Linked DNA regions of Pelodiscus sinensis. Each later gene encodes a partner of the first gene's protein in a complex. Links are inferred from orthologs where the notes say so. Each region holds a gene or a part of one and is shown in the gene's direction. Other genes may lie near its edges.

Region 1 (15,821 bases):
TTAACAATATTGTACCATGCTCCACCTAGAACCAAGGGAAATGTCTTAACTTTTTTCACTTTCAGATTCTACCCTCTAAATTGCACTTTTTTTTTTATTTTTATTTGTAGCTGAGATTATTGACAAATTGACCTTGACGTTCAACCGTACCCGTCAAGCCGTCATCACCAAGGAGCTTATTGAGATCATTTCTGGTGCTGCTGCTCTGTAAGTATCTGTGTAAATGTGTGACAAGGTTTTTTCCCCACTCATGTCGCTTGAATGTTCATACGTTTCCTGCTGTTTATATTGTAGTAACTGGGAGGGCAATGGAACAGTGGTTCTAAACTAATGATAAAAATGATGCACTGATAGTTGAAGAATTATTTATTCTGTTTAATAAATTCTAGTGACTGGTATGATGCTTAAAGCCTGCATTCAATTCAAATTTTGCCTCATCTGCTGGCCGTTGGCAAAGCTTCTGTAGGCATGAAGCTGCATTGTATTTATGGGAAATGGCTCTTTTCCCTGCCCCTCCTGACTCTCTATTGGATACCCATGTCTTCTCCATTCTGTGGGTGTAATTACCTGGGCCTTTTTACATCCACCCTTGGCTCATACACCCCCAAAGCTCTCTGTGATGCAGTGTAGATTCTTGGTTTGTGGCAGCCTACATGGTAGATTGGCCTTTCCTCTGAATGGACCAACCTGTTGTGTAGTGTAGAAGGTGAGGGATAACTTTTATTGCTTGGAACTTTAGCTTGTTCAATGTAAATATGCATTTTAATTAAATGGAACCAGTTAAGCTCTTGTGTATTTTGCTGACAAATACCGAACTTTGCCACTCTGCTAGGAACTGCAGAACACTGTATGCTATGGGTGATAAGAGGTGGTTGCGCTTAAACCCATATAATTGGTTTACTTGTATAGATGCAATATAAATTAATTCTAATCAGCAGATTAGACTTGTGTTCTAATTAAAGATATAGATCAATGCATTCATAACTAATGTATGTACAAAAATGGCTGGAAAACATCTTGTGCCACAATTGCATGTGTGCGCGTTTTTAATGAGCTGCTTATGTATTTAATTTGTCTGCTAAGTGACGCATCCTTGGTTAAATCGCAAGAATAACTTTTGCCTTAGTTTGCATGAATTGCTTCTTAACTTGCGTGTTCTGTTTTTTCCCATAACAATATTACCAGGGGATAATCGGAAAGCAAGTTTCAGCCAAAGCTAAGAGGTAACGTGATGAAGTAGAAACTAGATTCTTTCAAAAAATGTTTAGGCACATTTTTTCATTTAACCTTTCAGAATCATCAGTATCTGAACTGCAGCACTGAAATCTAATTTTTTAAGTGCCCTTTTCTAAACTTTTGGAGCAATCATTTGGGGAGTGATTAGTATGGACCCATCTGTAATTAGAGTGTAGTTAGCTACTGCCATAGAAAATTGTTTTTAAACCTTAGTATTACTGTGTGTTGCAACCTATGAAATAGGTTAATAATAGTGTGCCTTATGGTTCTAGAGAGCTTTAATGCATATAATCTGTGGGGAAATTAAAAGAACAGAAAGTGATCCATATGTCACACGATGTATCCAAATCACAGACTCTATTTATGGTTTAATTCAATACCCTTCCACCACTGAACTTGTTTTTAAACAAAAATCATCAGTTTTAAGTTATGGCACCACAAGCATACACATTTTACAGATACAGACAAAATACTGTTTTATTCCCTGAATAATTTACAGTAGTTAAAATGCAGGAATGCATAGATAGATAGATTAAAAGGGTGATGAAAGAAATGGTTTTAAAGAGGAATTGGGAGAACTGAGAAAACGTTTGAAGTGAGAATTGTTCAAAACTCATGGGGGAGCATGAAAAGACAATGGCGATAATTTAATATAAACACATAAAGATACTCTTGATATTTGTGTAAACTTGAAATATTTCTTGTATTCTTATAGGTGAAGAAAAAAGGAGCTATTCTAGAGAGTTGGTTTAACCTGCTTATATCCATATTGACAAAGCTGTTGGTCCATCATTCTGTGAAGAATTCATGGGGAAAACCCAAAATATTTGTAAATTATCTTACAATAAACCACTTACATGAAACAGATGTTCCTGTTTTTTTGTGTGTGAATATCTGGATCAAAGAGAATCAATTACTTTTTGAAATCAGCTGTTTACTGCTTGTATTCTGTTTGCTGCATGTAGTGTGTAGGTGGATTTTCCTTAGAGAAGCACAGGAAATGTGATTCAGAGAACAAATTATCTAATGTAATCTGGTATTCTCAGAGGACGTTCAATGCTTCATGTTTCAAAAGCAAGTATAAAGTCTGTGTAATGCATCTGTTCATTAGCCTAGTACAATAAGGGAACATGCACAAATTCATTTGCATTATATTATCCTACAATGTTTTAGGATTTGTTCTTTCCGATATACTGTCCCGTTGGTCTTGTATTCTAAAACATAGTTCATCGCAGGGATGGAAGCGACTAGTCGTTCTCTCCCCTTCCCTCCCCACCACTGCTGCTTCTATTAGAGAAAGGCAGCAAGACGGGGGAGCAGGTGACAGTGCTCGGAGGAGCCAGCTTAAAAGCCGGTACCTCCAGCACCATCTCCACAGGGGAAGTAGAGACACAGCGAGAAATGGCGCGAGCAGGGACTGAAGTAGTCTCCACTTGTGCCAGTTTTGCTGCAATTCTGCTTTTGAAATGTAGAAGAGTCCCGGTGGCACTCTTGTACATCTCAAAAGCTCTGCACTTGTGCATTTCAAAGGCTGAGGTGCCACAGGGAGCACGGGACCTACTACCCCGTGCTCCTTGCGGAGCTTCCGCTTTTTGAACTGTAGCAAGAGCCTGGTAGAGGCGCCCTTATCGACTAATTGAATAGTCGATGGAAATCCCATTGACTATTCGATTAAACTAAATTTAACATCCCTAGTACATCAGCCACTCGTACATTTTTATCAGTGGTGTTTTTTAATTAAAATACTGTCTAGAGCTGTGCATTCCTACATCTTATTAGTCAATAGTGTCAGTGTGAAAGGAGACTTGTTATTGTAGTAAGGAATTTTGAGAAGTGTAGAATGCACTGGGGGGGTAGGAGGTCTATATGTGTGGGTAGCATGAAAGAAGGAACAACAGAAAAGAAAAAAAAGAAGGAAACAGCATTGAAATGGTGTGAGAAGATCAGAAATAAATTACATTAGTACTGTTGATAGAAACAAAACCTTGAAGATCAGGATTGAATCTGGAGAAATAGACAGGAGAGTAAGCCCAAGAGACTTGAAGAGAAAGATGCTACTGAGTGTCAGAGGAAGAATTTAACTGAAATGTTTGGATAGACAAGAGAGGGACCAAGTGAGAAATTGGAAAGCCAGAGATGAACCAGTTTCAGTGATCATGCAATATGATTAATCTGTTCCAGATTAGATGTATTTTTTTAAATTAGTACTGAGGCTGCTGGTCATGTTTGATGTGTTACCAACAGTGACTTTGACTAATGATGCTCATAATTGGCAACTTTAACAAGTCCCAGGGAATTTTCTATGTGTGTTTTTTATAAAGCAGCCAAAATCTGGTGGGCATTTCAGTCATGTGAGGTGAGGAGTCCCTAACCCAATGGGCTTACAGTCTAAGTCCTCAATCCATTTACACTCAAGTGTAACTTTACTCATGAATAGTTAGCTCCTTTCTTTTTTTTCCCTCCCTAAAACCACTAGCTAATTGCCTGTTCCTTGCCCCTGACATAAGTTAGTTTAGATGTAAATACTTTCAAACTACAATCTAAAAGAAGAGTTTAGAAATCATTTGCTGCACTTGGATGAAGGGGGCAGGTGCAGCTGCTTAAATGGTTGGAAATCAATTTCAGGAGTATTCTGATAGATATTAGAGCATCACCTATCCTGTCTTTTTTCAAATACAGTAGGGTTTATGGGTAGGAAGAGATTTTTTGACTCCACAAATCTTAATATGAAAATGTTGCCACTATCCTACCTGTTCCAGTGCAGGAATTTATAAGGAAACTAAAACCAATGTTTTGCTTGTTTGTAACGATTCTATTGCACTACATTTATTACAAACATATACAATAATTAACTTTAAGAATCTTAATTATTCTGCAAGGTTGTGACATGATCAAATGTCTTTTGCTGTTCTGAAGGTTGTTTTACTCAAACCTAGTGATCAAAAATTTCCACTCTATTTTCTCTAGAAAGTGCCTACAAAGTTACACCTTAGTAAGATGAAAAATGGAAGTAGTCACTGGTCTGGTATTAGGTTGGTCCTTGCAATCCATTCTCAGTTAATGTATTCAGTTGGATTGCCTAGGATTCTAACCTGGCCCATTCTATTTCCCCTAACCACACATCCTGCTGACTCAAAACTTTGGTAGACAAACTGCCCTTGGTCAACAAATAAGGAAAATGAAAGAGTCCTCACTGATGTTTAACTGTAGAATGCTCTGAGAATTTACAGAATTTTAAAATGTTTGGTGCAGAATTACCCCAGGAGTGTTGGGTCAACCCAGTGACTGTACAGACACTGTGTCACTCACATTGACTAGTGCTGCCTTTCAGAAACCATCCCTCAATGCTCCACAGTGGCAGTTAAATGAGTGCAAGGACTCAAGCTGAAGATGCACGCAATGTAGGGGTGGATGTGTAAAACCACTTTAATTACTTGGTGGCTATATGTGGATGTAACAAAGGTCAGCTTAATTTTGTAGTGTAGAACCCATGTCCTAGTCAAATGCCATCCTGAATAACTGTTTGCTCTACATGCAATTCACTGTGCACCCTCTGTAGATGGAGATCAGCAACATGCACAGAAATGGGAAGGTTTTGAAGTACAAGGAACTTAGTGAGAAGTTGCCTAAGGCCAGGGTCTGGGATTGCTTCTTGAGTTTGATATTTTGGAGGAAAGGCCACTTCCTGGGTTAGACAGAAGTGCTGGCAGAAAAGCAGAGTGGATGGGGATCTGCTGCAAAGATGACTGTTACTGTAGCATGGAAGAGAAACTAAAAGTTATAAAGTATCCAGGAGAAGAATAGAAGACTAAAAAACAATAGAGAGAGACTGTTACAAGTAGCCCTCTCCTCACTTCAAGAGACACCAGACCCTCCCTTTCAGAAAAGGCACACATGTCAGAAATAGAGTGAATTTATAAAGGAATGGGGAGAAAATGGGCTTTTCTACAAAACCCTTTCCAGATTTCAGCATATAATGGGGCTCCTACCACTTTGGTGAAAGTTGAGTCAAGCCTAGCACATCTGTCACTGCATCTTCCCAATATTTGATCTAAAATGTATTCTTTATTTTGGCCCCTAACTCTTATGTACCACATAAAGGCCCCAGGCCTTCAAATTGAGCATGGGGCTTTGCTGCAAAGAAGGCTGGTGCAATTTTAAACTATATACTCAGTTACAGAGTACCGCATATCTTTGGTTACCTGTTAATCTCGCATTACATTCCAGAAAGCACACCACAACCATAATACAGTAAATATTCTGTTATATGCCACTTAATTAACTGGAAAGCTCAACTGGCATTTCTAATATCTGCTAACAAAAATATTCAGTCTAGTAACAGACTAGTATATGGCCACGCCCAGCACATTATGCAACCGCATATTCTACACTCTACTTTTATGCCAAAAAAGGCAGAAGACAAATAAGTAAGCTGATGCAGTTTCTAGGGCATGTCATTACCAGTTCAGCTCAATCTCCTACACTTTCTACAAACATCTACAATGATAATTGATATTGATGACCCTGAGGCACTACAAGATCCTGAAGTGCCTGCTGAATCATTGAAGATTAAATTACATTTTGTAGAGTTTTATATTAAGTGTATTTTTAATGAACTGGGATGTATGTCATGACCTGCCAATTGTCGTGTAGTGACACAAAATAACTTTCCCTGCATACACCTAAGTGCTTCAAGGAACCAACCACTCTGCAGTGCAATACATCAGGCTTGGTGAGTACCTGAATACTATTATACTTTATTCATTTTATTGTTTTCTAGTTCTTTGAAAAGTGGTATTCCATAGATAAAATAGAACTGTTTGTTAAACAGAATATTCAATTAACCAGCACCCTCCATTCCACCAGTATGCTGATAACAGAGCTTTTACTGTATTGTCAAACGGGGGGAGCATTCAAAGAATAGTAATAAAAATGACCAGAGGGCTTAATCTGAAAGGGGAAAAAATTAAAGGAAGGAGAGAAGGGACATAACAGAGAACCCCACTGAGTGCTGAATGAAGGGGAGGGAAGTCAAATCTTTTTTTCAGGAAAAGTTGGATTTGACAAACTATTTTTTTCTGAAAATGCATATGCTTTCCAAAGAATTTTTAAGTTTTTTAAAATAAAAATAGTATTTTTATTCTGAAATGCCTACAGTCTGCCTTACAAAAATTATAGTTCAAGTTCCCTGTGCTCCCCTTCTCCATAGGCCAGGCTCTGCATCTGAACATTTCCTAGGCCACCTCTTTCCAAGAGATCATAGGAGATGTACCCTGATGCATGAGCCCCAAAGAGACTGGGATTGCAAAGCATCTGATCTGTAACCCCCTCAGACACAACAACAGCATTTCTTAATCAAAGTGTTTCATATGTTTGAAGGGAGGGGGTAGCAGAAAAATTAAACCACTTGCTCTATTGCCCATAAGACAAATATAAACAAACCCCAAATGCCTCCCTTTTAAAAAAAGGCCATGCTTTTGGGGTCCAGACTAAAGACTTTTTAACCCTTAGGATTGCTACTACAGCTCCTCATACCATGCTGATACTGCACTGACTAACATCCCTCTTCTGCAGGCTTCTCTTACCACAAACTTGCACAAAGTTTCTCTGTGCATTGTCTTCTCTAGTTTGCATCAGTTTCTAGCAGGGCTGCAGGTCCCTCTTCACTCCCCTGTCACTGTCTGATCCTTACCAAACAGAGCACTGCAAATCTGGACGAAGATACTTGCGGCTCACTTTTGCAGATAGGGAGGCGGACACCCAGTTTTGTTTGTAGGACCCTGCAAATTTGAGGATATCCACTTTATATCCCCTGGTACTGTTTGCAGATGCAGGTACCAATGGTGTAGCCGGGCAGGGCTCTACCCATAGAGGTACAGAAGGGTAGCCGAGTTACTCTGTAGTTGAAGTTTTTCCAGTAACAACTAGTCTTGCAGCCCCTTAAAGACTATCAAAACACGTGGATGGTAGCATGAGCTTTCGTGGGCACGCACAACCCACCTCTTCCAACAAAGGTAGCAGCTGGTATTTTCCCAGTTGAGTCTCAGGCTGTTAATTCCCCTCCCCCTAATACTTTCCCGTGCGCCCGTTTTCCCCCTGCGCCTTCCCCTACTCTCCCTGGGTCTCTGTCTACCAGCTGAGCGATCCCCCCGCCCCGCCTGCACAGCCAGGCCGGCTCGGCCCCGCTGGAGGCCAGAGCAATCGATCGGCCGCCCGCCCCATCGACGCGCTCGGGGGTGGAGCGGCGCGGCCTGCCTGCTCCCGGCCGGCCGGGAGGCGCGACCCCAAGATGGCGGCGTTGGCGGCAGCGGGCGCCAGGGCCTGCGCGTGAGGGGGGCCATGGCGGGCTCCGGGCCCGGGCCGCGCTGAGCCGGCCGGGATGTGCGAGAGCTACTCGCGGTGTCTGCTGCGGGTGTCGGTGGCTCAGGTCTGCCAGGCGCTGGGCTGGGACTCGGTGCAGATCTCGGCCTGCGACCTCCTCACCGACGTGCTGCAGCGCTACCTGCAGGGGCTGGGCCGGGGCTGCCACCGCTACTGCGAGCTCTGTGAGTGCCGGGCCGGGGGCCGCCTCTGGCATTGCGGGGGAGGGGAGCGGGGGGCTGAGTCAGTGCGGGGCGGGGCCTCCCCTGCCGGGGCAGCCTGACCCTGCCACAGCAGAGGGGATGGGAGCCATGGAGACGGGGGCCAGGGCTGCCACTGCCCGTTCTGTGAGTGCAGGAGTGGGGGAGCCATGGAGATGGGGGCCGGGGCTGCCACTGCCCGTTCTGTGAGTGCAGGAGTGGGGGAGCCATGGAGACGGGGGCCGGGGCTGCCACTGCCCACTCTGTGAGTGCAGGAGTGGGGGAGCCATGGAGACGGGGGCCGGGGCTGCCACTGCCCATTCTGTGAGTGCAGGAGTGGGGGAGCCATGGAGATGGGGGGCCGGGACTGCCACTGCCCGCTCTGTGAGTGCAGGAGTGGGGGAGCCATGGAGATGGGGGGCCGGGGCTGCCACTGCTCACTCTGTGAGTGCAGGAGTGGGGGAGCCATGGAGATGGGGGGCCGGGGCTGCCACTGCCCACTCTGTGAGTGCAGGAGTGGGGGAGCCATGGAGATGGGGGGCCGGGGCTGCCACTGCCCACTCTGTGAGTGGGGGAGCCATGGAGACGGGGGCCAGGGCTGCCACTGCCCATTCTGTGAGTGCAGGAGTGGGGGAGCCATGGAGACGGGGGGCCGGGGCTGCCACTGCCCATTCTGTGAGTGCAGGAGTGGGGGAGCCATGGAGACGGGGGGCCGGGGCTGCCACTGCCCATTCTGTGAGTGCAGGAGTGGGGGAGCCATGGAGACGGGGGCCGGGGCTGCCACTGCCCACTCTGTGAGTGCAGGAGTGGGGGAGCCATGGAGATGGGGGGCCGGGGCTGCCACTGCCCACTCTGTGAGTGGGGGAGCCATGGAGACGGGGGCCAGGGCTGCCACTGCCCATACTGTGAGTGCAGGAGTGGGGGAGCCATGGAGATGGGGGGCTGGGGCTGCCACTGCCCATTCTGTGAGTGCAGGAGTGGGGGAGCCATGGAGACGGGGAGCCATGGAGACGGGGGCCGGGGCTGCCACTGCCCATTCTGTGAGTGGAGGAGTGGGGGAGCTATGGAGACGGAGGGCTGGGGCTGCCACTGCCCATTCTGTGAGTGCAGGAGTGGGGGAGCCATGGATGGAGGGGGCGGTGTCTGCTACTGTAAGCTCAGTGATTGCAGGGAAGAACATGGACGGGGTCTTGCTGGTCCAGGGCTGCTGGTGGCTTCACTGTGAGTGTTGGGTACGGGGCGAGTTGTGGGGACGGGGATGTAACTGCCTGCTCTGTGAGTGTAGAGGTAGCCAGACACAGTGGGACTACTGTTGCACATTCTGTGAGTGTAGCGAGGCTGAAGCTGTCACTGCCAGCTGAGTGCTGAGGACATTGTGAGAATTGGGGTTGGGCAAGAGCAACCACCCTGGTGAGTTCTGTGTATGCGAGGTTAGTGCAGGGTGAGGGATGGACCTTAACAAAGATGCTAATTACCTTAACCATTACAAAGATAGCTTCCTCACTTATCACCCCTGATTAACCATTCATCGACTCATAAATAGCTATTCCGTCCTTCCCTCTCCCTCACCCCACCTTCTGTACTAAATCTGATTTGTCAGTTTAATAATGTGTTCACTTTTTTCATTTTATTCCTTTGATATATATGGCCATGCCAATTCTCTTCCAGAATATGATCTGAGGAAGCATGGCTGTCATACATGACTGCTCTCTCTGAACATGGGGAGTCAAGGGGAATGGTGGGTCAGTTCGGGCTCTGGGAGTGTCACTGTAGTGTAAGCTCAGGGAGAGCTTCTGGGAGGCACAGTTGTAGTGGAGTCTGCAGAGGTGAGTAAAGATCCATGGTCACTTGGGGGCTGACAGTGCTAATGGGAGTTGAGGAGTGGGGGCATCACTGCTGCTTTGACTCCAGGGTCCATTGGGATTAGAGGGCTGAGACGCCAGGGATGACAACCTCCCTATAAACTGTAAACCCAGAAGGATGGGGGGGTATGTGGATATTGTCATGCTCTGAGGGTTTTTCTTGTTTGCCACCAAAAGTTCTCAGATTAAAAAAACAGAGGAGCCTTGGGACCATATGTTTTTTGGCTACCTTCAGGGGTTGGACTGAGCCTACCAATAGTCATGAGAAAAACTTTAGGTTCTTTTTTAGGAGGGAAAGGGAAGCGAGAGTGCATAGGGTGGTACCCATATGTATCACCAATGCAGGGATTTTACAAGTGCCACAATCATACCTCTAAGTTTCGCATATAAATGCTAAGATGAATGGTGCTGTATAAACATGTATAATAATTGTAAGGTAGAATCTAGGAGATCAGGGAGCATCCGACTGTGGAATAAAAGAGAGGACTTAGTTACCCACCTGAAGTTGGGTTGGACTTATTGTCAGTAGTCTGATCCATGTGAACTTGGTGTGAAGCAGATGTATTATGGGGGACAATATCTTTACACATGGACCAGAGTTGCCACTGTGAGAGTGCTGAGAAGCTTGAAAACAGAATTACCTTCCAGGGCTTAGCCTATATTTCCATAGCCACCTTGAGATTTGTGAGGCCGGGGGAGGGCTATATAATTAGGAGTTGGAGGCACTGTAATCTACCTTCTTATTTCAGCTGCATAAGGGGTGTGAAGCATTTACTGCGACTTGGGAACAGGGCATATTTTCTTGATGAATGTATGGAGGGGAAGGGAGCATTGTTTCTTCATTACAGAGGCACATGCTGTTATAAGTGGCGTATGTGGTATAATGTTTTTTTATATTCTCTGCTTCACGCTGATATTTTTCTCTCAGATGTGACTGTCAAAAGCACATCCTATTACTCAACAGAACTCTCACCTCCTGAAGTGTATTCAGACTTGGGGTTGCTTTTCACTGTGTAAAACTTCTACTGTACAAAACCAATTCAAGTTTGAAATAATAAACTAGATTCTTTTGTGGTTCTTGCATGATAAAATAAATTATTAATTAACTTCTAGTTGTAGAGTCTTTGTTATTGATATGTTAGCCGGAAACTAACCAGTTTGACCCTTGGATCAGTATGACTTAGCAGGACTGTCAGTTGAGTTGTTTATTTGGAGGGGGATGGGATCTTAGCACTTGTAAACTGAACAGATTGGATCTTCAGTAACTGAGACACAATAGTTGTATACTATGGTTCTACACTGAAAAATGACTGTAAAATCAAATAATAGAGTCCATATTTTCTCAGTTAACAAGCAAATGATGACTTTTCTGACAGTGCCAATTATTTTCCATTTGCTATATCACATCAAAAGATGTCTAAATATATTCAGTATTTTCCTAATGTTACTTTTCTAGGTAAGAATAGCTATAGTTGTCAGAGATACTGTGATTTCCAATGGGATGGGAGATGTATTACGAATTAATGCATGCGTGGTCAGGACTAGAGTTTAGAACAGTGGCTGTCAGTCTCAGCAGTCACAGCAAAAGTCAGAGGTCAGGAATAGAATCAAGAGTTAGAGCCAGAGTCAGGAATCTGGTAAGGAAAAAGCAGGTCTAGAGTGGACTCGAGCCAGGATATAGAAATAAGGCAAAAACAGGAATGATTGTAGCTATGGGTGAAAGCACTGAGCAGCCACTGGTGCAGGGCCACATTGGGCTTAGCTCCCAGCCCTGGCTCTTATTACATTTATAAAAGGCAGAGACGCAGCAGGGGACTGGGTTCAAGCCGGGAATCAGCTGTCCCAGGTCGCACCGTCCCAGATGCTGCAGCTCTGCAGTTAAGCAGAGGCACAGTATCTGGGACTGGGCATGAGCCAGGAATCATCTGGTTCCCAGCTCCTGCCCAGTCCCCCTCTGCACCTCTGCCCCCCTGTGGAGACGGTGCTGGGGGGAATCAGCTTTTAAGTCAGCTCCCTCCTGCACCGGCTTCTGCTCCCTCCTCTTGCTGACTCTTATAGAGGCAGCAAGGGAGGGAAGCAAGCATATGCTTATTGGGTCGTCAACTACTCGACTACAGGCAGTCCCCGAGTTACGCGGATCCGACTTATGTTGGATCCGCAGTTACGAATGGGGCTTTTCTTGCCCCGGAGGACTGGAGCGGCGGGACGCCCAGATGCGCTGCAATCCCGCCGCCCCCGTCCTCCGGGGTGAGAAAAGTTGCTCCACGTCTCCCTCGTCTGCTGGGGGGGAAACTCCCCCCCAGCAGACCAGGGAGAGGCGGAGCAAAGCCGCGGAGCACGCCCGCAGCGTGACAGCCCGGGCGCGCCTGGGCTGTCCCGCTGCGGGCATGCTCTAAGGCTTTGCTCCCCGTCTCCCTGCAGACCAGGGAGACGCAGAGCAAAGCCGCGGAGCACGCCCGCAGCGGGACAGCCCGGGCGCACCTGGGATGTCCCGCTGCAGGCGTGCTCCGCGGCTTTCCTCCCCGTCTCCCTGGTCAGCAGACCAGGGAGACAGAGCAAAGCCATGGAGGACACGGGCGGTCCCGCCACCCGCGTCTCCCTGGTTTGCTGGGGGGAGGGTGCAGCTAGTGCCCCTCTTTTCCCCCCTCCCCCCCCAGCAGACCAGGCTTTTCTTGCCTACGCCTGGGGTAGAGCTGCTGGGGCGCTGCCGGGTTGGTCCTGCAGCGCCGCTCCTTGGCACTACTGTACCAACCCGGCAGCACCCCAGCTGCTCTGCCCCAGGCGTCCTGATTCAGCGGCTGCTGGTCAGTTTCAGCAGTTGCTGAATCAGGACGCCTGGGGCAGAGCGGCTGGGGTGCTGCTGGGTTGCTCCAGTAGCGCCAAGGAGCGGCGCTACTGGAGCAACCCAGCAGCACCCCAGCTGCTCTGCCCCAGGCGTCCCCAAGTCAGCCACTGCTGAAACTGACCAGGGGCTGACTACAGGAAGCCAGAGGCAGAGTTGCTCTGCCCCGGGCTTCCTGGAATCAGCCGCTGATCAGTTTCAGCAGCAGCTGACTTGGGGACGCCTGGGTTTCTTAAGTTGAATCTGTATGTAAGTCAGAACTGGCGTCCAGATTCAGCCGCTGTTGAATCTGATCAATTTCAGCAGCGGCTGACGCCATTTCCGATTTACATACAGATTCAACTTAAGAACAAACCTATAGTCCCTATCTTGTACGTAACCCGGGGACTGCCTGTAGTTGCTTACATCCATAGTTCACATCCCTAATTATCGTAATTCCTAGGAGGTCTTGTCATGGACCAGGGCTCATTATGCTAGGTCCTGTACACTTACAGAATTGAGAGATGGTCCTGAAACAAGGATCTTACAATCTAATCATAAGACAAGATATAACAGATGGGGGAATACATGGAAACATTCAGACAACAGTGGTGATGGGCAGTGCAGCCTGTTATGAGGTCTTTTGTTGGTTTCCTAGCAAGGGAGACTTTTGAGGAATGATTTGAAGATAGCTTTGCAGTTGTTTATGGGGAGTGCCTCCCAAGAAGCAAGGGCAACATGGACGTGGGCATGAAGCATAATATATGGAGGCTGGTATTGTGTGCTAATTTGAGTCAAAAGAGTGGGGATTGACTATGAAAGGCCTTGAAAACAAAGAGAAGCAGTCTAAGAGAATAGAAAAAGGGTAGCAGGGAATGACACAGACAGAGCAATGGGCTAGGAAATTATCTTTGAGGAAATATTCTGTATAGATCTGAGCAGGAAAAATTGCATTTGTTAAGGGTACAGAGAAGTGTTGCAGTAATCAAGACGCAAGAGTTTAACAGATAAGTAAGACTGTATCTTTAAGATGTTATGCAAAAAGAATTTTCAAGAATTAGACAAAATCTACATGCAGGAACTGAAACCAGAGATGGTATACAGGTTGCAGACCTCATGTGTTTCATACTGTGAAAATGTTTGAGAACCCTATTAAAAAAACAAACAGAAAAACAAAAAAGCTTTCCATATAAATAAGGCTGCTTATTTTAGACTTTAACTGATAAAAACCTTCAATACAAAAATAAATAAAATCAAAATTGGTGGTTTGTCTAATAAACACTGAAAACAGTTACTCAGTTCATGCTGACATCACCCTTTTTCCAGTACAGTTTGTTTATATAGGAGATGTCCCTGATCCCTAATTTGTACCGAAGGGCTTGTCTACATGAAGCAGTAATATGTAATGGGGAGGTTGTGATTTCTTAAGCACATTAATCTATTGCATGTTAATTGGTCCATGAAACACTATTGATGCTCACTAAAGGTTCACTAGTTGGCTTTAATACCATGCTGTTTGAAGCAGTTCTATGTGTATATAGAAAGAGAGCCCCCAAAACTTGGTTTGGATGTTTAACAGCATTTTTAAAAACGTAAAAATACTGTATTCCAAAACAGTTTTTGTTGTGATTTAGGTGTCAGTGCAGAGGAAGCAGTACATGTGAGAATGGAGCAGTAGGTTTCTAAGTTGTTTCATCAGTAGGAACAAGAGTTACCTATGGAGAAACAGTTGCACAACAACATCAGAGTGTGCGTCTAGACAGCACCCTTCTGTTGGAATAAGCTACGCAATTTGCACTATGAAAATTGCGTAGCTTATTCTGAGTCTAGGTCGAAAGAGCTTATTTTGAAATTTGGCACTGTGTAGACCGTGCCAAATTTCAAAATAAGGCACTATTTCAACAAATCCCTTAACCCTCATGAAACCAGGGTTACAGAGATGCTGGAATAGTGCGCCCGCTATTTCGGGAAATAGAAAGTGTGTTTAAAGATGTGGTGTTGGTATTTTGGGATACTTCTGGTATCCCAAAATAGAGTCGCAGTCTAGATGTACTGTAAGTGACTTGCCCAGATATACTACAGAGAGTCTGGAAGCAAAGCTCTGATTCCTAATTTGATGTTTTAACTACAAAAAAGTTGACCTCTATGTTTGCAATAGTTATCATAACAGTGGTGTGTAAAAGAATGGTGTACATCAGAAGGCAGCTGCATCCCAGGATTTATGGGATGCAGCAGCCTTTCTGGATTTATGTAGGCATATTATATGAAGTAGCTTCAGTTGGATGGAAATAGGGATGTAAGAGTTTAACTAGTTAACCAATAAGCTGATGCTTATCAGTTCTGGTTAGTGGTTAAACTCTGGCTGGGGCCGGCAGGGGCTGGTGCCTACTACCCATGGGGCAGCCAGCAGCTTGCGGGGCCGCCAGTGGGTTAAAAAATATTGCCATTTAACTTTTTAACCAATTACATTGTAATGGGTTACACAGTTAGTATTTTTAAACCCTTTTTACATTCCCTCTACTCTGCACTGATTAGGCCTTAGTTGAAATATTATGTCTAATTCTGGGCACCACATTTCAAGAAAGATGAGGAGAAATTGGAGAAGGTCCAGAGAAGAGCAACAAAAATGATTAAAAGTCTAGAAAACATGGCTTTTGAGAGAAGACTGAAGGAAATGAGCTTGTTCAGTTTGGAAAAGAGAAGACCGAGAGGGGACGATAGCTGTTTTCAGGTATCTAAAAGGGTGTCACAGGAAAGGGGGATGGGGAATTGTTCTCCTTGGCCTCTGATGACAAGAAGCAATGGGAAGCAAGGGAGGTTTAGGTTGGACATTAGGAAATTTTTCCTAACTGTCAGGGTGGTTAAACACTGGAATAAATTGCCTATGGAGGTTGTGGAATCTCCATTACTGGAGATATTTAAGAGCAGGTTAGATAGACATCTGTCAGGGATGATATAGACCATGCTTGGTCCTGCCCTGAGGGCAGGGGACTGGACTTGATGATCTCTCAAGGTCCCTTCCAGTTCTGGTATTCTATGATTTTATGATCCTTAGATGAGAATAGTATGCAAATGATATAGATCATATATCAATAATACACTCAATATATTATATATTGTTTATTGTGATTTGCCCTGTATGTATGTAACCACTCATTAATTTTCCTGTCCGTTTGGCTACAAATAATTGAATAGCTATTGCTCTTTGTAATAAGGTTTTAAAAAATCTGCAAGCTTTCTCCCATTGTCAGTTATTCAAAGCTGCCAAACTGAAGAGCTCTAAAACTTTCAGGGTTTGGAGCAGGAATTTAAAGTTTGTCATAAAATTTGGTCTTAGCATCT
Region 2 (15,896 bases), about 140 Mb from region 1:
TGAAGAATTCTCCCTATAAGAGAATCAAAGCAAGGCCTCAGAAGGACAAACTTCACTAGTAAACATTATCGATCTCCCCTCCCCAGAAATTATCAATATAATCAAAAAGGCAACTGTTTAAAGAGCTGACAAGTAGCAGAGGACATCACAAGTCTGTTTTAAAAGGCAAAGCAACTGTTCCTGGGTAGAGTTGACCTACAACAGCATGGCAAAACCGTGTGGAATGGGAGAGGACCACACATTACCAGAGATACCCCTAACTATTAAATACCTTTAATAAAATAAGTAACTCTTTGAAGGTTTCCCATTTCTTCCTTTGCTTTCTAAGAGGAGCCATTGTTATCACTGACAGCCTCTCTCACAGCCCCCAATCTGAGTGGGGTTCAGAATGACTTAGCAAGAACTATGTAGAAAAGCAAGAAGCAACACTTCTCTCCTGTATCCATTAGATCAGTGATTCTCAACTGGGGTCCAGGAACCCCTGGGTGGGCTGTAATAAGGTTAGGTGTGGGGAGGTGGAATCCGGCGAACTAGGCTAGGATTAGACTAGCTGAGACTACCTACAAGGAATTTGGTTACTGGCCTTGTAATAAACAAGAGAAAATTAGTCTATATGAGGTTTTAAAATGACATCCATGGTAGATATGTAGGAAAAGAATAGTTACTACTTTTCATTTCTCTAGCATCTTCCTTTCAAGGATTTCAACCCACTTCAAAGAAGATAATGAATGTATACTCACTTGTGCAATCGGGAAGTATTACTGATGGAAAATTAGGGAACAGGAGTAGGGCCCAAATTTTTAAAGGTATTTAGGTAAAGAGGTAGAAAGGCACTTTTGAGAATTGCCACTAGATGCCTATACACGCTAAGTATGTAAACCTCCCCAAACCCCTCCAGTTTCAATGGAAGTTAGATGCCCAGCATACTTAGGTGCTTTTTGAAAATCTCATAGGTGGTTCTCTGCATCTTTAGCACATAAATATCTTTGGAACTGGCCTTATCTAGTCAAAAGTCAGTAATAGAGCCTGGAACAGAACTCATATTTCTCTGTCAGTTTCAGGAACCTTTTTATAAAAGAAAAATGCCAAAAATTTATTTTCATAGCAAAAAGTAAATCTGAATAAACATTGGGAAATATTTTTATATTTAATCTGGATAAACTGATTACTTTTGTTGGAGAAATACAAACTTTTTCATTTAACAAATGAAAAGGATCATTTTCCTTATTCATGGAGTAAAAATATATAAATATAATATACTCTCCCTGTTTTCCAGTGAGAATATAAAGCTTTTGTAGTTATATATTTAATGTCCTTTCTGTAAAAATATTAAATTCATTTTTATGGTCTGGGGCCTAAGTGTGTCATAATCTGGCTCTGATCATAGAATACTAGGACTGGAAGGGACCTCGAGAGGTCATCGAGTCCAGTCCCCTGCCCTCATGGCAGGACCAAATACTGTCTAGACCATTCCTGATAGACATTTATCTAACCTACTCTTAAATATCTCCACAGATGGAGATTCCACAACCTCCCTGGGGAATTTATTCCAGTGTTTGACCATCCTGACAGGAACTTTTTTCCAATGTCCAACCTAAACCTCCCTTGCTTCAGTTTAAGCCCATTGCTTCTTGTTCTATCCTCAGAGGCCAAGATGAACAAGTTTTCTCCCTCCTCCTTATGACAGACACCCTTTTAGATACCTGAAAACTGCTATCATGTCCCCCCTCAATCTTCTCTTTTCTAAACTAAACAAACCCAATTCTTTCAGCCTTTCTTCATAGGTCATGTTCTCTAGACCTTTAATCATTCTTGTTGCTCTTCTCTGGACCCTCTCCAATTTCTCCATATCTTTCTTAAAATGCGGTGCCCAGAACTGGACACAATACTCCAACTGAGGCCTAACTAGCACAGAGTAGAGCGGAAGAATGACTTCTCATGTCTTGCTCACAACACACCTGTTAATGCATCCCAGAATCATGTTTGCTTTTTTTGCAACAGCATCACACTACTGACTCATATTCAGCTTGTGGTCCACTATAACCCCTAGATCCCTTTCTGCCGTATTCCTTTCTAGACAGTCGCTTCCCATTCTGTATGTGTGAAACTGATTGTTCCTTCCTAAGTGGAGCACTTTGCATTTGTCTTAAACTTCATCCTGTTTATCTCAAACCATTTCTCCAATTTGTCCAGATCATTTTAGATTATGACCCTATCCTCCAGATTAGTTGCAACTCCTCCCAGCTTGGTATCATCTGCAAACTTAATAAGCATACTTTCTATGCCAATATCTAAATCGTTGATGAAGATATTGAACAGAGCCGGTCCCAAAACAGACCCCTGCGGAATCCCACTTGTTATACCTTTCCAGCAGGATCGTGTGCCATTAATAACTACTCACTGGCTACGTCTACACTGGCGCGTTCTCACTCAAAAACTCTTTTTCAGAATAGTTCTTCTGCAAAAACTCTTCCAGAAGAGAGCATCTACAGTGGCATGTGCTTTTGCGCAAGAGATGTGCTTTTGCTCAAGAGCATCCATGCCAGTGTAGACACTCTCTTGCGCAAGAAAGCTCTGATGGCCATTTTAACCATGGGGCTTTTTTGTGCAAGAAATTAATGTTGCCTGTCTACACTGGCCTCTTGCGCAAGAACAGTTGCGCAAAAGGGCTTATTCCTGAGCGGGAGTGTCAGAGTTCTGGCACAAGAAGCCCTGATTTCACACATTAGAACGTCAGTTTACTTGCGCAAGAACACACGGCCAGTGTAGACAGGCAGCAAATTTTGCGCAAAGAGCGGCCACTTTTGCGTGAGATCATGCCAGTGTAGACACAGCCTCTGAGTACGGTTATCCAGCCAGTTATGCACCCTCCTTATAGTAGCCCCATCTAAGTTGTATTTGCCTAGTTTATTGATAAGACTATCATGCGAGACCATATCAAACTTTACCTTACTAAAGTCTAGGTATACCACATCCACGCTTCTCCCTTATCCACAAGACTCATTATCCTATCAAAGAAAGCTATCAGATTGGTTTGACATTATTTGTTCTTTACAAATCCATTCATCATAACAATGAATCTCTTCACACCAAGGCCACAAGAAATAACCACAACCTTCCTCCTCTCAGTTACATCAGCATAAGTGTACTTTGTGATTAGTAGCACATACATTGCTTGAGGTATATGTAAGCTGGTTCTGCTTGTGTCCTGAACTCTAAGGGGAAACAGGGAGGCCTCACCACTGGAAGATGAGCTCTGTTTCATCTTGTTTAAGCTGCAAGACAAAGCACTGTCAGCCAAGAAACCTACAAAAGGAAAACAGAAAATACTGATTTTACAGGTCAGACAGAACAGCTAATGGAGTACCCAGTTGGGAGAATGAACCTAATCCAGAAATAGGAATGGAGGAAACAACAGCATAGTGGGTGCTAAATAAGTCCCCCATATGAATTGGTCTCCATCTCTGAGATTCTTCAGTTTGGGCTTGCGAAAATGACTCTCTGACTGAGCCCAGTTTTGGTTTGTTTAAATCTTTTTACAGACTGACAGAAACATGGCCCATCACATCCACCCTTTATCAAGACCCTTTCTCCCCCAAACCTCACACATCCCTTGGTCCTTTCCTTCAATAAAAACATACCCATTTTTAAAAATTTTTAAGTGGGGGACCATTCCTAAAACCAGATTTCACCCCACAATCCCCTATTTCCTGGTAGAGAAGAAAAGTTCTTGTCTCCAAAAAGGCTGAATTAAGAAAGAGGCTTTAGGGGCTGCAGCCCTGGGTTAAGGGGGCCTTGCAAAAAGATCTCCAGGCTGCCACAAATGCAGATCTTTTTGCAGGGTCATCTTGGCCTGGGCTACAGCCACTAAAAGCCCGTGTTCTATCCCTGCCTGGCAGGGGATGCGGGTTGGGACAGTGGATGTAGCTCTGCACGCTGCCTTTCTTCCTCCTGTTCTCTCTGGGCTGGAGTTGTAAATGCCAGATAGCTCCATCTGTGTGCTTCCCTCATCTGCAGGCTCTGCCGCTCAAACTTCCATTGGAGAGGAATTGCAGGGCAGCATGCAGAGCCACCTGCCCCCTCCCATCTTCAGGGTATGCACTTCCAAAGGGGAACAGGCCCAGGAAGGTGCCCCACACCCCAATTCACCTGCCCCAGACCTGAGCCCCTTCCTATACCCTAACTCCCTTATAGATCCTGTACCCCTACCGCTTGCTCTGAGCCCCCTCCTGCATTCCAAACCACTTAGCCCTAGCTTGGAGCCCGCTACTACACCCCAAAAGCCTCATCCTCAGCTCTACCTGAGCCCAAAACCACATTCAGAGTCCTGACCCCTCCCCCATGCTGAGCCCCTCATTTTTAGCCCCTCCCCAGAGCCTAGGGGCCTCTCAGGAGACTTAATCTGGGCTTGGTCCCTGATACTCCTCAGGAGGCACCTGCTCTCTTTCTACCGCCAAATGTGCAGCAAAGGACACAATTCACAGCATTCTTTAACCAGCCAAAGAAACACCTGTGTAATTGCACCAGCAAAAATAAAGTACCCAGCCCCAGGAGAACAGGCATCCCATTAAAAGCATTCAGCTCTCCAGCACGGGACCAGATAGGAACCAGAACATAATGCAATAGCTTCATTACAATAGAGTGGCAGCATCTGTAAAACATGGCTTTAAAAGTTTGGTCTCCTTCACCCACTCCCCTTTACGGAGAGCAGAAGAAAAGTTCTGGGGTATCAAATCCATCCCCCCAGCTGAAGTGCTATGCCCATGAGAGCCCCTAGAAGGGAAGGGTTCTTCCCTAGAGCTGAGGCTGTCCATGACAGAACCCCTCACGACCCAAGAACAGCTCCGTTTTGGGGTGGGAAGATTCCAGGGGACATTTATATGGCACCCCCTTTACAACCTCTGAGCGCCACTGAAGGAGTCAGTCTGCAGGGCAGAGGTGTAGCCAGCTCATTTTTGACACCTCATTAATACGTATAAGCAATCATTAATATGTATGATTTGCTATGAATATGTAGTAGCTGTTAGGCATGTTAATATAGAAGTTTCTAGGAGTGTTGCACATGGCACGCAAGTAGCTGCACATGTCACACTGTGCTGCTGCATGCAGCACACTGATCCAGGCTGTTACAACTTGTTTATCAAAGCACCCAATCAGGGACCCTTGTTTTCCTGTGCAGGGTCCAATGATTTTAAAGATAAAGATCATGAATATTTATGAGAAGGGTGCTTTGAAGGCCTGGCTAACAGTTGTGTGTGTTCGTTCGCGCCTCCCTTGTTCCTGCTTGTCTCCTGTCTGTTTATGTCAGTCTATAGTTAGTTAGGGTTAGCTAGATTTTATCGAGTGTGTCCGTTAGGATTAGTGCGTTGGTTCACTGCACCAGCGGCCGGGTACTTGTCCGTGACGGGAGCGTCGTGTTAGCTAGTCAGGTTTTGTTTCCAGGTGTTAGGGATAGGTAGCTGTCTATCATCGGTTCCTGCTGAAGCGCAGAAGCCACCTGAAGATCAGCACCAGGCAAGTCTCCACCAGTGATTCCTGCATCTAGGAGCGCAAGGCCCCAGACAAGGATCATCACCACCTGCCTGCACCACACCCATCCCCAGGGTCTCCGAGGGATCGCCTCTCTGTTCCTCACTGAGGGCTCGGAAGGAGCCTAAGGCTTGAGGTCGAGAGCATCGTAGAGGGTCACCACTGCGAGGGATCTCCTCGTCTTTCACCAGAGGCTTTAAATTATCAAAGGTTTGAGAGACAGGAGCTTCTCACCCACTGTCAACTACTGGACTGTGTAATTATTGTATTTTGTGTAACCTTGTGTTTGTGGGGTACTTTTCTATTGTGAAAGTAGAAAGAATTATACTGTAAGAAAAATATGAATTGTGCTGTAATAATTGAATAAGTTGAAGGAATTCTGTTTGTCTTTTTAAGAGGAAGAAGAAAAGTATGTTAATGTTGATTGTAGGTATGCAGATCAAGGTGCTAGCCAATTTGGGCCTGAGTTTAACAGGAAAAGAAACATTAGGTGTTAGACAGGAAACAATTCCAGATAATCAGGGAGATATAGCCAGGAGATTGCTGTGTGCTTAATATTGAAATGAAGAGTACTTGAGTAGCCTCACACTAATTATGTGAAGTTTTGCCCCCCTTTTAATCCTGTTAATTTTGGCTTTCTTTTGACTGTATAAATCAAGAGGTTTGAACCTTGTATGGCACTCACATTTTCTCCATGCATTTTAGCAAAGCTTTGCTGAAATAAACAGAGCAGTCTGCCAAATCTGTGAGTCCTGTCTGACTTTGACACTATCTTCTTTCCTTCTTGAGGTTGGGATAAAAAGTGTTTACCTGCTTTTCCTTGTGCTTTTAAAACTTTTACAATATATGGTTTGGCCCTTTTAAAGAGCAATGTTTTTGTTTACTGTGGCATTCTTGGGTCAGCAAACACCTATGATAGATGAGGTTTGGTGGTATCTGCAACTTCCACTGAGGCTTAATTAATAATCAGATGCAAATGTAGGTACAAGCTTTCCTCAGTGCAACAGAGGGCTGCATTCCCCAGAGGCAATGTTCCCTCTATTTTGTTCCACCAGTGCAGAATTAATGTTGTTATGTACACCAAGTCATTGTAAAGATGTGCACCGCCCATAAAAACACACGCTGCCAGCTGTGGGTGCTCTGCTAGTCAGCTGGGCAGCGTTTGAATCTTTACTGGGCAGCCACCCAGCTTACAGGGAAGACTGCCCAGAGGATGGGAGTTATCCCCCTCCCCACCACTAAACACCAGGCGCATTAGGGGGCTGGGTCCTACTCCCTCCTGCCTGGGCCACAGAGGTTCCCCAGCAGCCCCTCTCCCAAATCCCTGCCCGTTGTACGGGCCTGCGGTGCCCGGGCTGCAGGGATATTCCTAGCCAGGAAGGCTCTCTCCCCCAGCCCCGCTTGCCCCCCTGCGGATCCCCCCCCCCCCATAAGTATCACAGCGGAGCGAGAGCAGTTTCCTGAGGCCAGCTCGCTCCACCCAGCTGCAGGCAAGTCGCTCTGGCTCCTGGGCAGGGGAAGCGGGGGGGATGTGTGTGTCTCCCAGCGCAGCCCGGAGGAGCTGCAGGGGAAGTGCCTGCGGGCAGCAGCCAGCTGAGATAACGCCCCCCCCCCCCTTGGGGAGCTGCTGCTAGGGGGGGGTGCCCCAGGTAAGCCCCCCCTCCTCACAGCTGTTCCCCCACATCCCTCCTCCCCCCCCCCCCCGCTGCACCCCCACTCCCTGCTGCAGGGGGGACAGGCACCGCCACGCGCTGCGCACACCTGCCCGCCGCGGCCGCAGAGACCAGCACCCAGTCGGGCGAGCGGGGCGGGGTGTTGGAAGCAGCGGGCGGGGGCGAGTCTGGTGCCGTACAACAAGATGGCGGCGCCCACAGCTCAGGCTGAGGTGGGCGGGGCTTGGGGAGCGAGGTGCCGCTGCGAGCATGGCCGACGAGGAGGAGGACCCGCCGGTGAGTGCAGCTGCCAGCCCCCGGCGGGGGGGGGGAACCCCTGTGCCCCAACCCCTTCCTGCCAGGGGAAAAGTCTCAGCCTCCCGTTCCCCCCCCCCCTTTTGGTGCTGTGGTCCCTTCCGGCCTCAGCCCCTCCCCCAGCGTTTCCCTCCACGCGCAGGGGCTGCAGCAGCGGCCCAGGCAGGGCAGGCCCCGAGCCGCCTCGCGCCTCCTGCCTCGCGCCTGCAGGCAGCCCCGCTGAGCTGCCAGGGCTACTGGAGGAACAACGCGCTGTGGGGGGGGGGCGCCCTGCGGCACAGGCCCGGCAACAGTTTTTGACCTGGAGCCGCTTCAGAAATGTTTGAATTGGCCTTGGGCTGCCCTGAAAGGGGCGGAGCCTCTGGTGCAAGGGGCGGGGCCAGGACACTTCCCTGCTTCCCTGGACACACACCCTGATTGTTGTGTTGGGGGGGGGGGGGGTGAAGTCTTTGTCCCCAGAGCCCCCCATCCCCAATCATCAACTGTTCAGAACAGTTGGTGGTTCCCTTTAGGAGCCCACCACCTGGTGGTTGGAGGAGACTGTGCACTCCCCCCTCCCCCTTTCCTCCAAGTTAGTTGGGGGGGGGGGAGTGCGTGCACAAAGCCTCCTCCCGCCCTGTCCTGCAAGGGGTGTACAAGGCTTAAAGTCAACTGCCAGCTGCTCAGAGGCAGCAGCAGAAGTTGGGGCGGGTGGGAGGCAGTGCTTGCAGGGTGCTGGCTACTTCCCTCCTTCCCAGCTCCCTGTGTAAACATGTAACTGCTGAAAATGTCAAAGGTTACACGTTTACAAAAGAAAACACATTTTAACATTCTTTCTCCATGGCTGTGTCTAAACTGGCCACTTTTTCCGGAAAAGCAATCGCTTTTCCGGAAAAACTTGCCAGCTGTCTACACTGGCTGCTTGAATTTCTGCAAAAGCACTGATGATCTCTGGCTGCTTGAATTTCTGCAAAAACACTGATGATCTCATGTAAGATTGTCAGTGCTTTTGCGGAAATACTATGCTGCTCCCGTTTGGGCAAAAGTCTTTTTCAGAAAAACTTTTGCGCAAAAGGGCCAGTGTAGACAGCACGGTACTATTTTCCGCAAAAAAGCCCCGATCGCGAAAATGGCCATTGGGGCTTTTTTTGCAGAAAAGCGCGTCTAGATTGGCAGGACGCTTTTCCGCAAATCTAGACGCGCTTTTCCAAAAATGCCTTTAACGGAAAACTTTTCTGTTAAAAGCATTTCTGGAAAATCATGCCAGTGTAGACGTCGTCCATGTGTTTATTTAGGGCTTGGTTCAGGATGTCAAATTTGGGAATTAATTGCAGTCTGTTTTTGAAGGTTTTTTTTGTTTGTTTGTTTGGTTTTTTTTGGCCAGAGAATAGCAATGTGCAAGTCTGAAACTGCATGATATTTATGACATAATTTAGGAGTTGGCAACACTGGAAATACTTTTTCTTGTATCAGCTTTCTCTGGGCCAGGTACAAGCTTTTGAGTTTCATGGAGAGCTCTTCTTCAGGGCTTAAGTACAAATAGTTTACACACTGAAATGGAATCCATAATTAGGCACAGACATATTCCCCACAGTCACATTGGGGGTATGGAGTGGAGTGGGAGATCCCTGTGGGGAGATTGAAATATAGGGAGCTGGGCTTAGGCTTGGCTGTGTCACTAATTGGGCTTGTCAGCTATGCTTATATGTCTGAGTTCCCTCTCTGGTATTCTGCACCACCCTAGTTTGAAGAGGACACTGAAGAAGCTGGAGGAGGCCCAGATGGTGGACAGGGCAAGAGGAAGAGGCTGTTCTCCAAAGAGTGTGAGTTTGCCATCCATGTGTCTGGGTCAGTAAGGAGGTGGACCCTCACCTTAGGCTCTCGGACAACTGCATTTGGCTTCGCTTCTATGGAGGTTATAGTCTATTTTAAATGAGGATATGACTGTAAATCACAATAAGACAGTAAAAGTGACAGACCACAGGAGTTCTGTGAGAGTCTTACACTGGAGTGGATGGGAGAGCTTTCTGAAGTCCATTTATTGGGTCCAAGGCAAAGCAGATGCGATAATGACTGCCAGTGGATCGATTGATGTGATGGAGATGAGCCCTTAGTTTGGTTGAAGAATTTAGTGCATGTTGCTAAGTGTCCTGTATAATGGGGAGCTCTTTCAATGATACCATGTTTTCTGTTTCCCCAGTAAGATGTATGATGTATGGGTTTGGAGATGACCAGAATCCCTACACAGAGTCAGTGGATATTCTTGAAGACCTGGTGATAGAGTTTATCACAGAGATGGTAGGTTCTATTAAGACATCTGCTTACTTTGTTTCTAGACTGTAATGACTATAGAGATCAGTCCATTTAAAAAGAACTCCTAATTGGACAATGGTTAGGAAAGTCCTTCCAGTGGAAGGGACTGAGTTAGTTTTTTAAAGAACCCAAAAGTAGGGTTGGTTTATTTCCCTTAAAAAGCAAAATAAAAAAGTAATGAAGTTTAAACCATTAATAAAGGTCGTCTCGTGCCTGTCTGGTTAAATATCTAATTTGCATTCTGGTGGTCACTAACCCTTCATCCTTCCAAGGTTGATAATCTAGTCTATTCAACACTGTGTAAAACATTTCTATATGGTACTTGTAAAGGGAAACAGTGTCCTGCATGCTCTGCGTGGACTTTAGATTCCATTTCTATTGTAATAGAAGATTCATCTTGTGGTCCTTAGCCAAGGATTCCTGAATTCCATTTTTAACAGAACTATGTAATTCCTCTTCTGGGGTAGAGGAGTTTTATGTACTGTTCTGTTTAATTTCATCTGCTTTCTAAGTACTACCTCTGGAAATGGGACACAGAAAGGGATCATGTTCTCTCCCTCTGGGGCAACTAGTATTGGCCACTGTCGGCAGGCAGGATACTGGCCTAGATGAACAGTTGGTCTGACCCAGTATGGCTGTTCTTCTGTTGTAGCAGGTTTAAAACGAATAAAAGAAAGTTCTTCTTCTTCTTCACACAGCGTGTAGTCAACCTGTGGAACTCCTTGCCAGAGGAGGCTGTGAAGGCTAGGACTATAACAGAGTTTAAAGAGAAGCTAGATAATTTCATGGAGGTTAGGTCCATAAAAGGCTATTAGCCAGGTGATAAAATGGTGTCCTTGGCCTCTGTTTGTCAGAGGCTGGAGAGAGAAGGCAGGAGACAAATCGCTTGATCATTGTCTTCGGTCCACCCTCTCTGGGGCACCTGGTGCTGGCCACTGTCGGTAGACAGGATACTGGGCTAGAAGGACCTTTAGTCTGACCCAGTACGGCCGTTCTTATGTTCTCCTCTCTATATCATTTTGCAGGTTAGGCTTGTTTTCCTGTGCACTTGCTGCTCCTCTGATTTTGATGTCACCTGCCAGTTTGATTATAATTCACTATATACACACACAATGCTCAGTGAAGGCACAAAGCAGCTATGCAGGATGCAGAGATAGGCTTGGCTTATGGATTTTATGTTTTAATTATTTTGACAAAGTATCTTAAAACATAGCACTTATGTCAGTTGCCAGGAAATAAGATTTCATTTAAGAGTTGTGGAGCGGGATGCCTACTGACTAGCTCAATGGATCCTGATCCATGAATCTTGCTCCTAGCTGTATGGTAATTCAAATATTAAATAACTGGCAGGAAACATTGCTGCTTAAAGACTGATTTCACCACTGTGTAAATCAGGGATGGGGAACCTAAGGCTTAGGGGCCAGATATGGCCCCCAACTTGTCTGTATCTGGCCCCTGAGGCTTGGGGCTCCCCTCCTCAGTACTTGGGTGCCTATGGTTGGTGTGCCAGTCCCTCTGTTGTCCCCCCATGGGGCTGGAGCACACAAAATCTACCAGTCTGGACACCCCTGGGCTCTGGTGCAAGAGGGATGTGGGGGGGATTTCTCCTTTTCAGTTGGGGCCATGTCAGTGAGGGATTTGGGGTTTTTTGGTTTTGTTTTGCTTCTCACTTATGTGTGGCCCCCAATTGACTTTTTTTCTGTTGGTCAGTGGCCCCTGGCCCAAAAAGGGTTTCCCACCTGCGGTGTAAATGGATCACCTAGAGAGATTCTCCTGACCATAGCCTAGCTAGGATGGTGGCTTTCAATCTCTGAAACTAATGGTTTTCTCTTCAAAAGTGAGAAGTAAAACTGCTTGTTAGACGGTGCCCTGGCACTGTTTCTAAAAACAGTAAGGTAACTTATAACAGGGAAAAGGGACCATACATTTTCATTAAATCACTTAAATGTTTTTTAACAGACTCACAAGGCAATGTCAATTGGACGGCAGGGTCGTGTGCAGGTTGAGGACATTGTCTTTTTGATCCGCAAGGATCCACGGAAGTTTGCCAGAGTAAAAGATCTGTTGACTATGAATGAAGAACTGAAACGGGCCAGGAAGGCCTTTGATGAAGCAAACTATGGATCTTGATGCATTTGTATGTGCAGAGATGGTAACCTGTAGCCATGTTTATCCCTATACATTTTTAGCATGTTTTTCAATACTGGAAAAACTAACTCCCTACCGACTTCTATTTGTTTTCGTGGCTTTTAGGATGGATCTCAGTGCTGGAGTGTTTGCCTAGGTTTTAGCATTGCCAAACAAGCCTATAACATTTTGTAAACGTCTCTTAATGTATGTATTGTCTTAATGTACGTTTGGGTTTTTTTTTTGGGGGGGGGGGAGGCTTACAGTATTTTAAGAAAAGACAGGAGGAGCCCAAATTAGAAGTGCTTCATGCATATCTGTAGCAACTCTAGTTTTGAGCTTTGCAATCTGTCACATACCAGATGACTAGAAAGCTAAATGGGAACAGGTGCTTGGCATCTGTGCTGTAGTTCTCATTGGTTTCAGATACCCTTCACCTAATCCACCTTAAGTAGATTTCAAAGGAATAATTGAAAACAGTCAGTGCCTGCATCTATTTGTGCTAGAAGGTGTTGATTATAGTGTTGTTACTCAAAATATTGGTATTTGCTTTTCTTTATAGGGGTATTTATGAACAATAAAATATTTTCATGGTTCACTCACTCCTCTTGTTTTGGGTCTGGTTTTAAATATATTCAAGGCACATGATAAAGAATAACTTATTTGCACTGAAATGGTGTATGTCCAGTAGTCTTCGGCCCACAATAGGGTCTTAATCTACTATGAATGTTTTCATGGAAATGGCTTAACTTTTTTTTGTACGCTGCCAAAACTATTAGAGAGGATGCTGACTTCTTAGATTTAGCTTCACAGTTAGCTGTGACTCTAGGCTCACCTCCTATAGATTTAACTGCACTCGAATAGTTCCCGCCACAAAGTATTATAGAAAGACAAGACTGAATTTCCAGGCATTTATTGGTCAAGAGGAAGCAATCGGGGCTGAATAAACAGCAGGCTACAGCTTCCTTCTAGAATCTAGCATAATAGAAAAAGCTTAATGATGCTATTACTTCCTTTAATAACTTTAATTGAATAGTTCTTTGTAATGGTGGAAGATCTAACTGCTCTGGTGTTTCACAGCTGGTTTAATGTCTGAAACATTATACTAGTGGGAGTCTTTTATACTTAGGTTTGAATTCCACCATGGTTGACTTGCCTTTCATTCTTAAGACACAAATTGTTATGTATGTTTTACTGAGTTCTACTGCAGAAGGTCATAAACCGAACCCTTGGTATTTAGTAGAAATACTACAATCCGATGGTATTTCTTTTGAAAGAGTCGGTATTACCATATTTACCCCTCTAGCCCACTGGTGACATTGTGATTGCATAATGATAGCTTTTAAGTGCTATTAAATCTTCTAAAAGAAAGGTGTTAAACGGATTTATAATCTAGTGCATGGTCTCCCCCTGAAATTCTCACTGCAGTCACACTGCTAAGAAGAAATAACGAGCACTCCTGTGGAAACCTTAGACACTAACATATATAGTATCATGAATTTATCAGATGAGTAGTGGATTTTACCCACAAAAGCTCATGATTTTTGTGTGTGTGTGTGTGTGTGTGTGTGTGTGTCTGTCTAAGGTGCCACAGACTAACATGGCTACCCCACTGACATTTTCAAAAAATGAGAGCTTCATCTGAGAGTGGTTTGCTATATTATGTTGCAGGATTACTCAATCCTATTGCCTAGTATTTAACCTTGTAAACAGCCTAGAGAACCTATCAATCTCTATTTGTATGTAAAGAAAATAAAATCACAATGAGGGAGGGGAGGGAATAACCTTTATGCCCGTTTCAGGAGTTGAGTAGTTAATCTGAAAGCCAGATGCCATTAAATAGAAATCTGTTGAATAAAACATGCCCCTCTCTTCCCATACCTCAACAGTCTTTATTTCAAATAAATGTCACTATGACTGTGTCTAGACTGGCCAGTTTTTCCGGAAAATCAGCCACTTTCCCGGAAAAACTTGCCAGCTGTCTACTCTGGCCACTTGAATTTCCACAAAAGCACTGACGATCTCATGTAAGATTGTCAGTGTTTTTGTGGAAATACTATGCTGCTCCTGTTGGGGCAAAAGTCCTTTTGCGCAAAACTTTTGTGCAAAAGGGCCAGTGTAGACAGCCCAGATTTGTTTTCCACAAAAAAGCCCTGATCGCGAAAATGGCGTTCGGGGCTTTTTTGCGGAAAAGCGCGTCTAGATTGGCACGGACGCTTTTCCACAAAAAGTGCTTTTGCAGAAAAGCGTCTGTGCCAATCTAGACGCTCTTTTCCGAAAATACTTTTAACAGAAAACTTTTCTGTTAAAAGCATTTCCGGAAAATCATGCCAGTCTAGACGTAGCCTATAAGTAAATCTACCTTTAAGACCAATGGGCATGGCGCTGTATTCAATGTGAAGTGCACATCTGTGCTGAAGTTCACAGGAAAAGCTAGGGATATTTAAGAAGTAGCACTGAGCATGAAAAAGCAAAGCTACCCCAGCCTTATGTTTTTCTTGGAGGCATTATTGTAAAGGTGGGTTTTAAAGAAGCATGTGCACCTAGATTTTATGTGTATTAGAGTGCCTAGCAGTTCCAGTTGTGGACCCAGGACTCTCTTGTGTCAGGTACTGTATGATAGGAGGGTATTCCTTACACCTCCAGTGTTCCTCTAAGTCAGCGTTTCCCAATTCTATTTGGCCATGGAACCCTTTTAAACTTGAAAGAATTTCAAGGAGCCCCCTAAATAAGTGTCATATATATGGAGCTGAAAAAGTAGACCACAAATAAGTAAGGTTAATAATAAACACATGCTAAACAAGATCATGAGATCAACATTTAGTTTAATCACACATATTTAAACATCACACAATGTGTACAAAAAATAAAGCTCAAACTAATACACATTATATTGGCAGTTTAATACAAACAGTGTTTTTTCTTTTTCTTGGCAAATTCTTTTTATATTTGGCTTAATACTGGAAAGTTGGATTTGCATATCTGGTGCGGCATTCAGTCCATTTCCGTATTTTGTTTTTGTTGCGTAATTTGAGAGCCCAGTTTCACACAAATATGTGCTGGCAAAAAGTAACAACTGACAAATTGCCCCTCTTGAAAAAGCTGAATATTCTTGACATAAGCTGCCCCAAAATGTAATCAGAGAAACTTCTTTACATTTTTGTATTAATTAGCCATCTGAAATGATTTTGATTAGGTTTTCGTAATCCTGTGTAGAAAAATTGACTAGTTTTACTTAATGGATTTCAAATCCAGTTATTGTCATTTATGGTTGGAAAACACTTCATGACATTTGTGTATAAATCCCAAAGATGATCTGTGATGTCCTGGCCAGGAGGAAGGGTATAGGAGAGAGCTTGGGGCATGGTGCCTGGCCAGGAGGGGTCTTGGGACAGGGTATCAGAACAAGCTGGGAGTGTGGGGTTTTGGTGCAGGGAGTGAGGGAGATTTGAGTGCAGGGTCTGGACATGAGGATGATGTTTACCTGGCTTGGCACCCTGCTGCAGCAGGGAAAGCCTCCAAGCAGCACACTGTCATTCCCCCAGCAGGGGGGCAGGAGAGGGAGCTTAGTTCCCCCAGCCTTCTCAATGCAGTGGGGATCCCAGCGCAGTTGCAGCCCCAGGTCAGGCTTCTTACTGGCAGGGCGGAGGGTGTAGAAACCCCAACCTTCCCCATCAGACCAGCAGGGTGGGGGATGGGGGGGGGAGCCGCAGGGGAAAGAGAGCGACAGCACACGGGGGCCAGCCAGTCTGAGCTGAGGGTTGTGCAGCCTCTGCCGGAGCGCAGGCAGCAATTTAAAAATGCCAAGGTCTGGGAGTGGCTACTTAGCACCTCAGACTTGGCCATCCCTCCCCCTTCTGGCAGCAGTGGCAGCTGCACACGTGAAGGAAGGGGCTACGTGGCTGTATCGGAGGCTGCGTGGGACAGGGGCAGTCCTACGGGGTGAGGAGGGGTCTGCGTGGGGCAGGGGCAGCCACAGTG

Evidence for each region.
Region 2: TAF3 (region 1) and TAF13 share a complex: the UniProt entries of both Homo sapiens proteins name them as parts of the TFIID basal transcription factor complex. The link is inferred for Pelodiscus sinensis from reciprocal best matches to the Homo sapiens genes TAF3 and TAF13.

Annotation. Positions count from the first base shown.
Region 1 is NC_134711.1:9,750,775-9,766,595, forward strand, and holds the start of TAF3 (transcription initiation factor TFIID subunit 3), read left to right. Parts: upstream 1-7,491; 5' UTR 7,492-7,615; coding exon 7,616-7,781; intron 7,782-15,821. Other genes in the region: ATP5F1C (ATP synthase F(1) complex subunit gamma, mitochondrial), read left to right, coding at 111-207, 1,186-1,192. UniProt on the Homo sapiens protein: The TFIID basal transcription factor complex plays a major role in the initiation of RNA polymerase II (Pol II)-dependent transcription.
Region 2 is NC_134711.1:148,139,652-148,155,547, reverse strand, and holds TAF13 (transcription initiation factor TFIID subunit 13), read left to right. Parts: upstream 1-7,368; 5' UTR 7,369-7,451; coding exon 7,452-7,478; intron 7,479-9,219; coding exon 9,220-9,298; intron 9,299-9,675; coding exon 9,676-9,773; intron 9,774-11,747; coding exon 11,748-11,918; 3' UTR 11,919-12,517; downstream 12,518-15,896. UniProt on the Homo sapiens protein: The TFIID basal transcription factor complex plays a major role in the initiation of RNA polymerase II (Pol II)-dependent transcription.